Ovis aries: one gene and its partner. Each later gene encodes a partner of the first gene's protein in a complex. Links are inferred from orthologs where the notes say so. Each region holds a gene or a part of one and is shown on either strand. Other genes may lie near its edges.

What was found.
Region 2: ZBTB8OS (region 1) and FAM98B share a complex: the UniProt entries of both Homo sapiens proteins name them as parts of the tRNA-splicing ligase complex. The link is inferred for Ovis aries from reciprocal best matches to the Homo sapiens genes ZBTB8OS and FAM98B.

Annotation. Positions count from the first base shown.
Region 1 is NC_056055.1:234,983,562-234,988,071, forward strand, and holds the start of ZBTB8OS (protein archease), read left to right. Parts: upstream 1-1,420; 5' UTR 1,421-1,444; coding exon 1,445-1,541; exon of another isoform or gene 1,542-1,545; intron 1,546-4,510. Other genes in the region: histone-binding protein RBBP4, read right to left, coding at 1-66, 626-641. UniProt on the Homo sapiens protein: Component of the tRNA-splicing ligase complex required to facilitate the enzymatic turnover of catalytic subunit RTCB. Together with DDX1, acts by facilitating the guanylylation of RTCB, a key intermediate step in tRNA ligation.
Region 2 is NC_056060.1:32,293,617-32,296,614, forward strand, and holds the end of FAM98B (protein FAM98B), read left to right. Parts: intron 1-1,576; coding exon 1,577-1,942; 3' UTR 1,943-2,443; downstream 2,444-2,998. UniProt on the Homo sapiens protein: Positively stimulates PRMT1-induced protein arginine dimethylated arginine methylation.

The DNA of each region.
Region 1 (4,510 bases):
TGTTCTTTTTCCATATTTTGTATTCTTCGTTGATCACACGTTCTTCTACTGCGTCATCAAAGGCTGCTAAAAAATAAAAAAACAAATTAAGTTAGCGACCACAAATGGAAACCGAGTAAACACTTCCAAAGCCACCGGCACTCCTAAATCCCGATTCTGAAATGGAGATCTGTCTAAATCTCCTCGAGGCACAGCCACCAACGCCGCTCTCCGGCCTCGCGGGGCTTTAACTGCTGGGCTCATCGCTGCCAAACGCCGTTAGCCGCTCGGGCGACGGCATCGGGAGGAGCACAGAACCGGCGGGGAGGCCGGAGCACCGGCCATTGCGGGCAGAAAGCACTGCAGGGAGGACCCGAAGAGAGGCGAGCAGACCGACAGGGCGTGTGGAGAAGGACCAAACACCCGCCGGGGACCCAAACGCCTGCCTCAAGCCGCTGCGCCGGGGCCTCTGCTCTGGAGGAGCTGGCGCGCCGTTAACCCGCCCCGCGGGGCGATTCTCCTCACGCCTGCGATGGCGGGGACGACACTCAGCTGAGTCTGGCCTGTCCTCACTGTTAGGCCGTTTCGAGGCCGCTACGCAACCCCGGCACCCCCCACTCTCCTGGGGCCGCCCCGGAACCCTCACCTTCCTTGTCGGCCATGGCGGGTAGGCAAGCCGGCGGGGATCCCGGGGTTGAGCGTTGCGGGAGGGGCGGGGAGCCTGCGGGCGCTCGCTCTGCGCGCGCGGCCTCTATTGTTTCCTGCCGCCCCTGCGTGAGGGATGACTCGCGCACCTTCGCGCCAACACCGGCCAATCGGAGTGCGCCGAGCGGCGAGGTGGGCGGGGAAGTCGCGTTCGCAACCTATCCAGACGCGTAGAGTCTCTTGCCGCGGGGCCGAGGCGCGCGCTCCGCCCCTGCCCCCACACGGCCCCGAGCCGACTTCCTTCGCTTGCGCGCGCGCGGGTTGGTGAGAGTGAGCCGCCCGAGGTCACGTGAGAGGTTTAGGCCGCACGCTCCTGGGGGGGCAGCCATTTTCTTGAAGAGTGTTCAGCTAGCGACCCCTTGAAAGTAGGGCTTTGAATGAGAAATTTAGGATGTTTTGGGGTCTAGTTGGCCACTCTAGGGGTAAACTGGCAAGAAAGGCCTTTATTTCACCTCGAGGTATCTAATTCAAGTGTTGTCCTATTCCTAGATCCTCCAATATATTTGTTCCCTTACTTCTTAGGACTATTGATGAAGCACGTCCAGAAAATGGGCCTTTGGGCTTTTAAAGAACTCCAAGCGGCGAGACCTAGAACGGAAGTCTTAAGGATTAAGGTTTAGGGGATTAAGTCCTCGAGGATGGTGTTTTAGCCCTTTAAGGGTATCTGTCTAGGGGCGGAGTCTTGGGCGGATGTTGAAAGTCCGGGCTGAAGTCCGGCTGATGAAGGGCGGAAGTTGAGTTTGGGTCCAAACCCGCAATCATGGCGCAGGAAGGGGAAGATGTAAGAGATTACAATTTGACTGAGGAGCAGAAGGCGATCAAGGCCAAGTATCCTCCAGTCAGTCGGAAGTACGAGTGTGAGTAGGTGGCTCACTTCTCTCCTTGCGGGAGGGCTCTGGCTTCCTCTTCCACTTTGCGCCATAGGGTGGTTGGCGCAATTCCCGTTTTCGCCCTGTGTGAATGCTCATCTGAACTAATCCCGGGAAAGCTGAAACGCTGAAGAATAAAGACACCTGGTCTGAGAGTCGGGAAACCTGGGCTCCCCCATATACAATATCTTGAACTCTCCCTGTATATGCTAGTCACATTTATCTTATGGGAATTTTTGTTGTTTAGTTGCTGAGTCCTGTCAGATTCTGCTACCTCAGGGACTGCTGTTCGCCAGCCCCCTCCCCCGCCCCATCTCCTGGAATTTGTTCAAATTTATGTCCATTCAGTCGGTGATGCTATGGAACAATCTAATCCTTTGACCTCCTGCCCCGATTTCCTTTTGCCTTCAATTTTCCCATCATCAGTGAAAGTCGCTCAGTCGTGTCGGACTGTTGGAACCCCATGGATTATATAGTCCATGAAGTTCTCCTGGCCAAAATACTGGAGTGGGTAGCCTTTCACTTCTCCAGGAAATCTTCAGAACTCAAGGATGGAACCCAGGTCTCCCTCAATGCAGGTGGATTCTTTACCAGCTGAGCCAGCAGGAAGCATCAGGGTGTTTTTCAGTGGGTTGGCTGTTTGCACCAAGTGGCCAAAGTATTGGAACTTCAGCTTCCAACTATAGTCCTTCCAATGAATATTCAGGGTTAATGTCGTTTAGAATTGACTGGTTTGATCTCCTTGCAGGCCAAGGGACTCCCAAGACCTGTTCCAGCACCACAATTCAAAAGCATCAATTGTCCCGCGCTCAGCCTTTATGGTCCAGTGCTCACATCAGTCCGTGTGTGTGCATAGTCGCTCAGTCCTGTCGACCCTTTGCAACCCCATGGACTGTGGCCCACCGCGTTCCTCTGTCCATGGGGATTCTCCAGGCAAGAATTCTGGACTGGGTTGCCATGCCCTCCTCCAGGGGATCTTCCCATCCCAGATCAAACCCAGGTCTCTCACATTGCAGGCGGGTTCTTTACCGTCTGAGCCAGCAGGGGAGTCCCACATCCATACAAGACTGCTGGAAAAGCTATAGCTTTGTCTACACAGACCTTTGAGGGAGTTTTACTGGTGTATTCATTGTGAAGAGAGCCATGTTTTGAAGTGTTTTGTGTAACCACCCCCATCCTCATCTATCTCCAACAGTCCTGTAGTTAGAATGTGGCTAGGGTAGAGGATAAGAAAGTTATAAGTAGAGGACTACTAATGTCTTACTTGTATCCTGTGTTAGTAAAAGGACCTGGTTTGCCATTTGTAGCTTAGTGACTTTAGGCAAATCACATAACCTCTTTTTGCATTCTGTTCCTTCCTGTGAGGGCAAAATGAGATAATAATAAATGTGAAAATATAGTGCAGATTCTAAAGTTAGTCTATATAAACGTTAAATTGTTAGCCCTAAAGGTGGATGTGGTTTGGGAGCACAAATTTGGCTCTTATTTCCCCTCTAAAGTTCTTTAATTAATTTCACATTGTTCTCTGTATGCTGGTGTTTAGTTGCTAAGTCCTGTCCAACTTTTTTGACCCCATGGACTAGAGCCCATCAGGCTCCTTTGTCCATGGGTTTCCCAAGGGAAAATACTGGAGTGGGTTGACATTTCCTTCTCCAGGGGATCTTCCCAGCCCGGGTCTTGGAAAACCGTCTCCTGCTTGGTAAGCAGATTCTCTTATCACTGAGCCACCTGGGAAAGTCCTCTGTATAGAGTACAACTATTTATCATAGCATACTAGGCTCTGTACTTTCTAGACCCTGCGTGTCTCCCTAGCTCATTTTTCTCTTCAATCAATTCAGTCACTCACTCAGTTCCAACTCTGCAGCCTCATGGACTGCAGCACACCAGGCTTCCCTGTCCATCAACAACTCCCAGAACTTGCTCAAACTCATGTCAATCAAGTTGGTAATGTCATCCAACCATCTCATCCTCTGTCATCCCCTTCTCCTCCTGCCTTCAATCTTTCCTAGCATCAGGATCTTTTCAAATGAGTCAGTTTAGTCAAAGTATTGGAGTTTCAGCATCAGCCCTTCCAATGAACATTCAGGACTGATTTCCTTTAGGATTGGCTGGTTGGAACTCCTTGCAGTCCAAGGGACTCTCAAGAGTCTTCTCCAACACCGCAGTTCAAAAGCATCAATTCTTCGATGCTCAGCTTTCTTTATAGTTCAACTCACATCCATATATGACCACTGGAAAAACCATAGCCTTGACTAGACGGACCTTTGTTGGCAAAGTAATGTCTCTGCTTTTTAATAAGCTGTCTAGGTTTGTCATAGCTTTTCTTCTAAGGAGCAAGTGTCTTTTAATTTCGTGGCTGTAGTCACCATCTCCAGTAATTTTGGAGCCCAAGAAAATAAAGTCTGTCATTGTTTCCATTGTTTCCCCATCTAGTTGCCATGAAGAGATGGGATAGGGTGCTGTGATCTTTGTTTTTTGAATGTTGAGTTTTAAGCCAACTTTTTCACTCTTTCACTTTCCTCAAGAGGCTCTTTAGTTCCTCTTCTCTTTCTGCCATAGGGTGGTGTCTGAGGTTATTGATATTTCTCCCAGCAATCTTAATTCCAGCTTGTGCTTCATCCAGCCTGGCATTTCTCATGATGTACTCTGCATATAAGTTAAATAAGCAGGGTGACAGTGTATAGCCTTGAAGTACTCCTCTCCCAATTTTGAACCAGTCTGTTGTTCCATGTCTGATTCTAACCATTGCTTCTTGACCTCCATACAGATTTCTCAGGAGGCAGGTAAGGTGGTCTGGTATTCCCATCATTTTTCTCTTTTGATTCAGAATTCAAAAAGTATGACAGGTATGCAGTGAAAAGTCAGCTCTAATCCCAGGCCCCTTGGTCTTGCTTTCTAGATCAGCCAGTCATAACATTTTCATATGTGTACATGCAAAAATGTACTTTAATTTACTC
Region 2 (2,998 bases), on another chromosome or scaffold:
GTTCCATTTCCTGATTCAGAGTATAGGTCCATTTCTCTGACAGTGGTCTGAAATCAACTCAGAGTCTGAATTTTTTCCTTTACAACAGTGGCAGCAACAATAAGATAATTTAGAATGTTTATATCAGCTTGTCTAGTATATACTCTTCAGTTTGAGCACTCTATGACAAACTTAAGAGCCAAAAGTCAGAAGTATGGGAATTGGGTAATTTTACAATATCAATTCTCAGTGCAGTGAGAAAGGTGTCCTGTAGCAGGAGATGGTTGTATATAAAGTCGGTTTGCTAATTATTGTTAAGTTAGGCACCAGTGCTTGGGCCTTCCTGCTTCCATTTTAGATCAGCCTCCTCTATTCTGAAAGTGTTCTGATTTTAAATATGTTACTTTATATCATGCATCAAGGTCTTTCTGGATCAAGAGTTCTCTTAAGTGATATTGCCCGTCTCTTTTCTGAGTTTGTAATTGATAGTCTAATTATTTGAGGGCAATCTTATTATCAGATCTTGGAACAGCGTCCCTGTATATCCACCAACATTGAATGTTTGGTGGAGAGACCAATGAGGATAACCAAGAAAAGCTGCTTTTTGGATTTGGTAATTAGGACATTATTGCCGACTTTATAGTATACTTTGAAGAATATATGTGTACTTTGAAGCTTGTCCAACAGTGAGGAATTTGTACTTTTTTGTCTTCATTTATGATATAAAGTAGTAAAACATGATTTTGATTAGAGGATCAGGAAAGTAGAACACAACTGATTCATAGGTCATTTTGGCTGAGGCACATTTGGCTTTATCTTTACTGAAAGACACTAGCAGGAAATGATTTGCTTCCTATTGGTCTCTGTTCATGGACATATAAAATAGCTCCTTTCTACAGAAATTTAGGTACTTGAAGCAAACTCTTCCTTAGTTTATTCTGTGAAATACTATGAAGCATGGTTAAGGAAGTATATTGTCTTAATTTTTTTAATAATATAGTAACTAGTATCATTGAAAGTTAGCTTAAGTTTCTCATAAAAAAGGGAATAGTTCATTGAAAATCCTTATAGCTCTTTGCAGTTGATAACCTTCGTCTCTGCCTGTATTACACCCACGTGTTATCATATGTACTTCATACTTTGTTGAAATAAAATGTGCTTAGAAATAGTCTTTTATGAGATAATCTATTACCAAACCAGTGGCAATAGAAAGTCCAGAGTTGTGTGAGTGAATATGGAGTTAAGTTGTATAGGGTATGAAGTTTATGTACATTGTAAATGTTTTGCTAAAAAGTTTTCTTAGTGTGATGGGTACTACATTTGTTATAAAATTTACTAAAAACGTTTAAACAAGTTCTTAAGTTTCATACATATTCTCTCACACTGTTTAAAAAACAGCACATTGTGAGCAGTTTGTCACACATCACTTTTATATTTTCAATATTAGTTCATATTGCCATGTCTGGTACTTTCATGTCCTAAAATATTTGGCTTCTGTTTCTTTATTAGAACAATAACTTCAATGTTGCTTGCATCCTTTAAGTAAATTTTGACTTTTGCAATATTGGAAACTGAAAGAAAATATTTCTTTACACAGGTGCTGATGGGAAGGGTGCCTGACAGGGGAGGACGGCCGAATGAAATTGAACCACCACCCCCTGAGATGCCGCCTTGGCAAAAGAGACAGGAAGGCGGTGGAAGGGGTGGGTGGGGTGGGGGAGGTGGCAGAGGAGGTGGTGGGAGTGGGAGAGGTGGTGGAGGCGGGTGGGGAGGGGGAGGGGGAGGGGGGTGGGGCGGGGCCGGGGGAGGGGGTGGTAGAGGAGGAGGTTTCCAAGGCAGGGGAGATTATGGTGGGAGGGGAGATTATGGTGGAAGAGGAGGCTATGGAGGAAGAGGAGGCTATGGTGGAAGAGGTTACGGAGATCCGTATGGAGGAGGTGGTGGTGGATATAGAAGATACTAAAAGCCACAAAATTTAGATAGCAGTGCTTACTTCTTGATAGGTACATTAGGCATAGTATTCTAAATAACTACTTGAGTGTCATCTTTGAAGTAAACACCATGTTAGATTCCCTGATGGTATCATTCTTGAATTGGCTTGACTATGTAAAAGAACATTGTTTTATATTACTGTTTGATCTCTTAGACAAAGTGATGATTTTTTCCACACTCTGTGTACTCTTGAGCATGTTCTGTCTTTTTAAAAAAGAAAAAAAATGAGGAAAAAATATTTTTAAAAGTGTAAATATATTATTACCATCAAACTTGGAAAATGGAAAGTATTTTATTGTCATGATTGAATTTAGATTGTTACCTGTATTTTATTCAGGTCTGAGACACATAAATGACCCCACTTGTAGTGGAAAGGAATATAAACTTATTGCCTCATCTGTAGTCCTGTGGCTGTTTTGTATTTGTTAATTCTCTTTTACAAAATAGGAAAAGAGACTGATAATTGTCTTCAGTAAGTTGTCATGACTTGTGTTTTTCTTTTATTCTGAGCAATTCCTCTGGCCAGGTTTCTGTTAAAATTCCAATAATTGAAGCCCAAGTCTATTTTTTGCTACACATATTTATTTTCCAACTGGATTTGAAATCTGTATGATTTTGTTTGACAGAGCAGAATTAAAGACTGAGGTCAGAATTACTGTAAAGGAACAAAGACATGAACCAATTTTACATGGTGTTGTGAGAAAAATTTCTGCAAATTGGTTTCTTCATTTGTGGCATCGCTTTAGGTATCCAAATATTAAAAGGCAGGTTGCTCTGTGCCGTACAGGATTAGGACACTTATATCCAGTTTTATCGATCAAAGGTAGGGCCATGATATCCTTTGGTAATTATAATTCACAGTTAGATTTGGGAAACACAAGGTTACAGGATGTTTAAATGTGATTTGTTGGTTGGAGCAGTCAAAGGCTTGGGAATCAGGAGTTGTGAATTTAAATCATGGCACTAGCCCAGGGTGGGGGCTGTAGGCTTAAATGGCCATAGCTCTCAGAGATTAATTTGTCTTCTT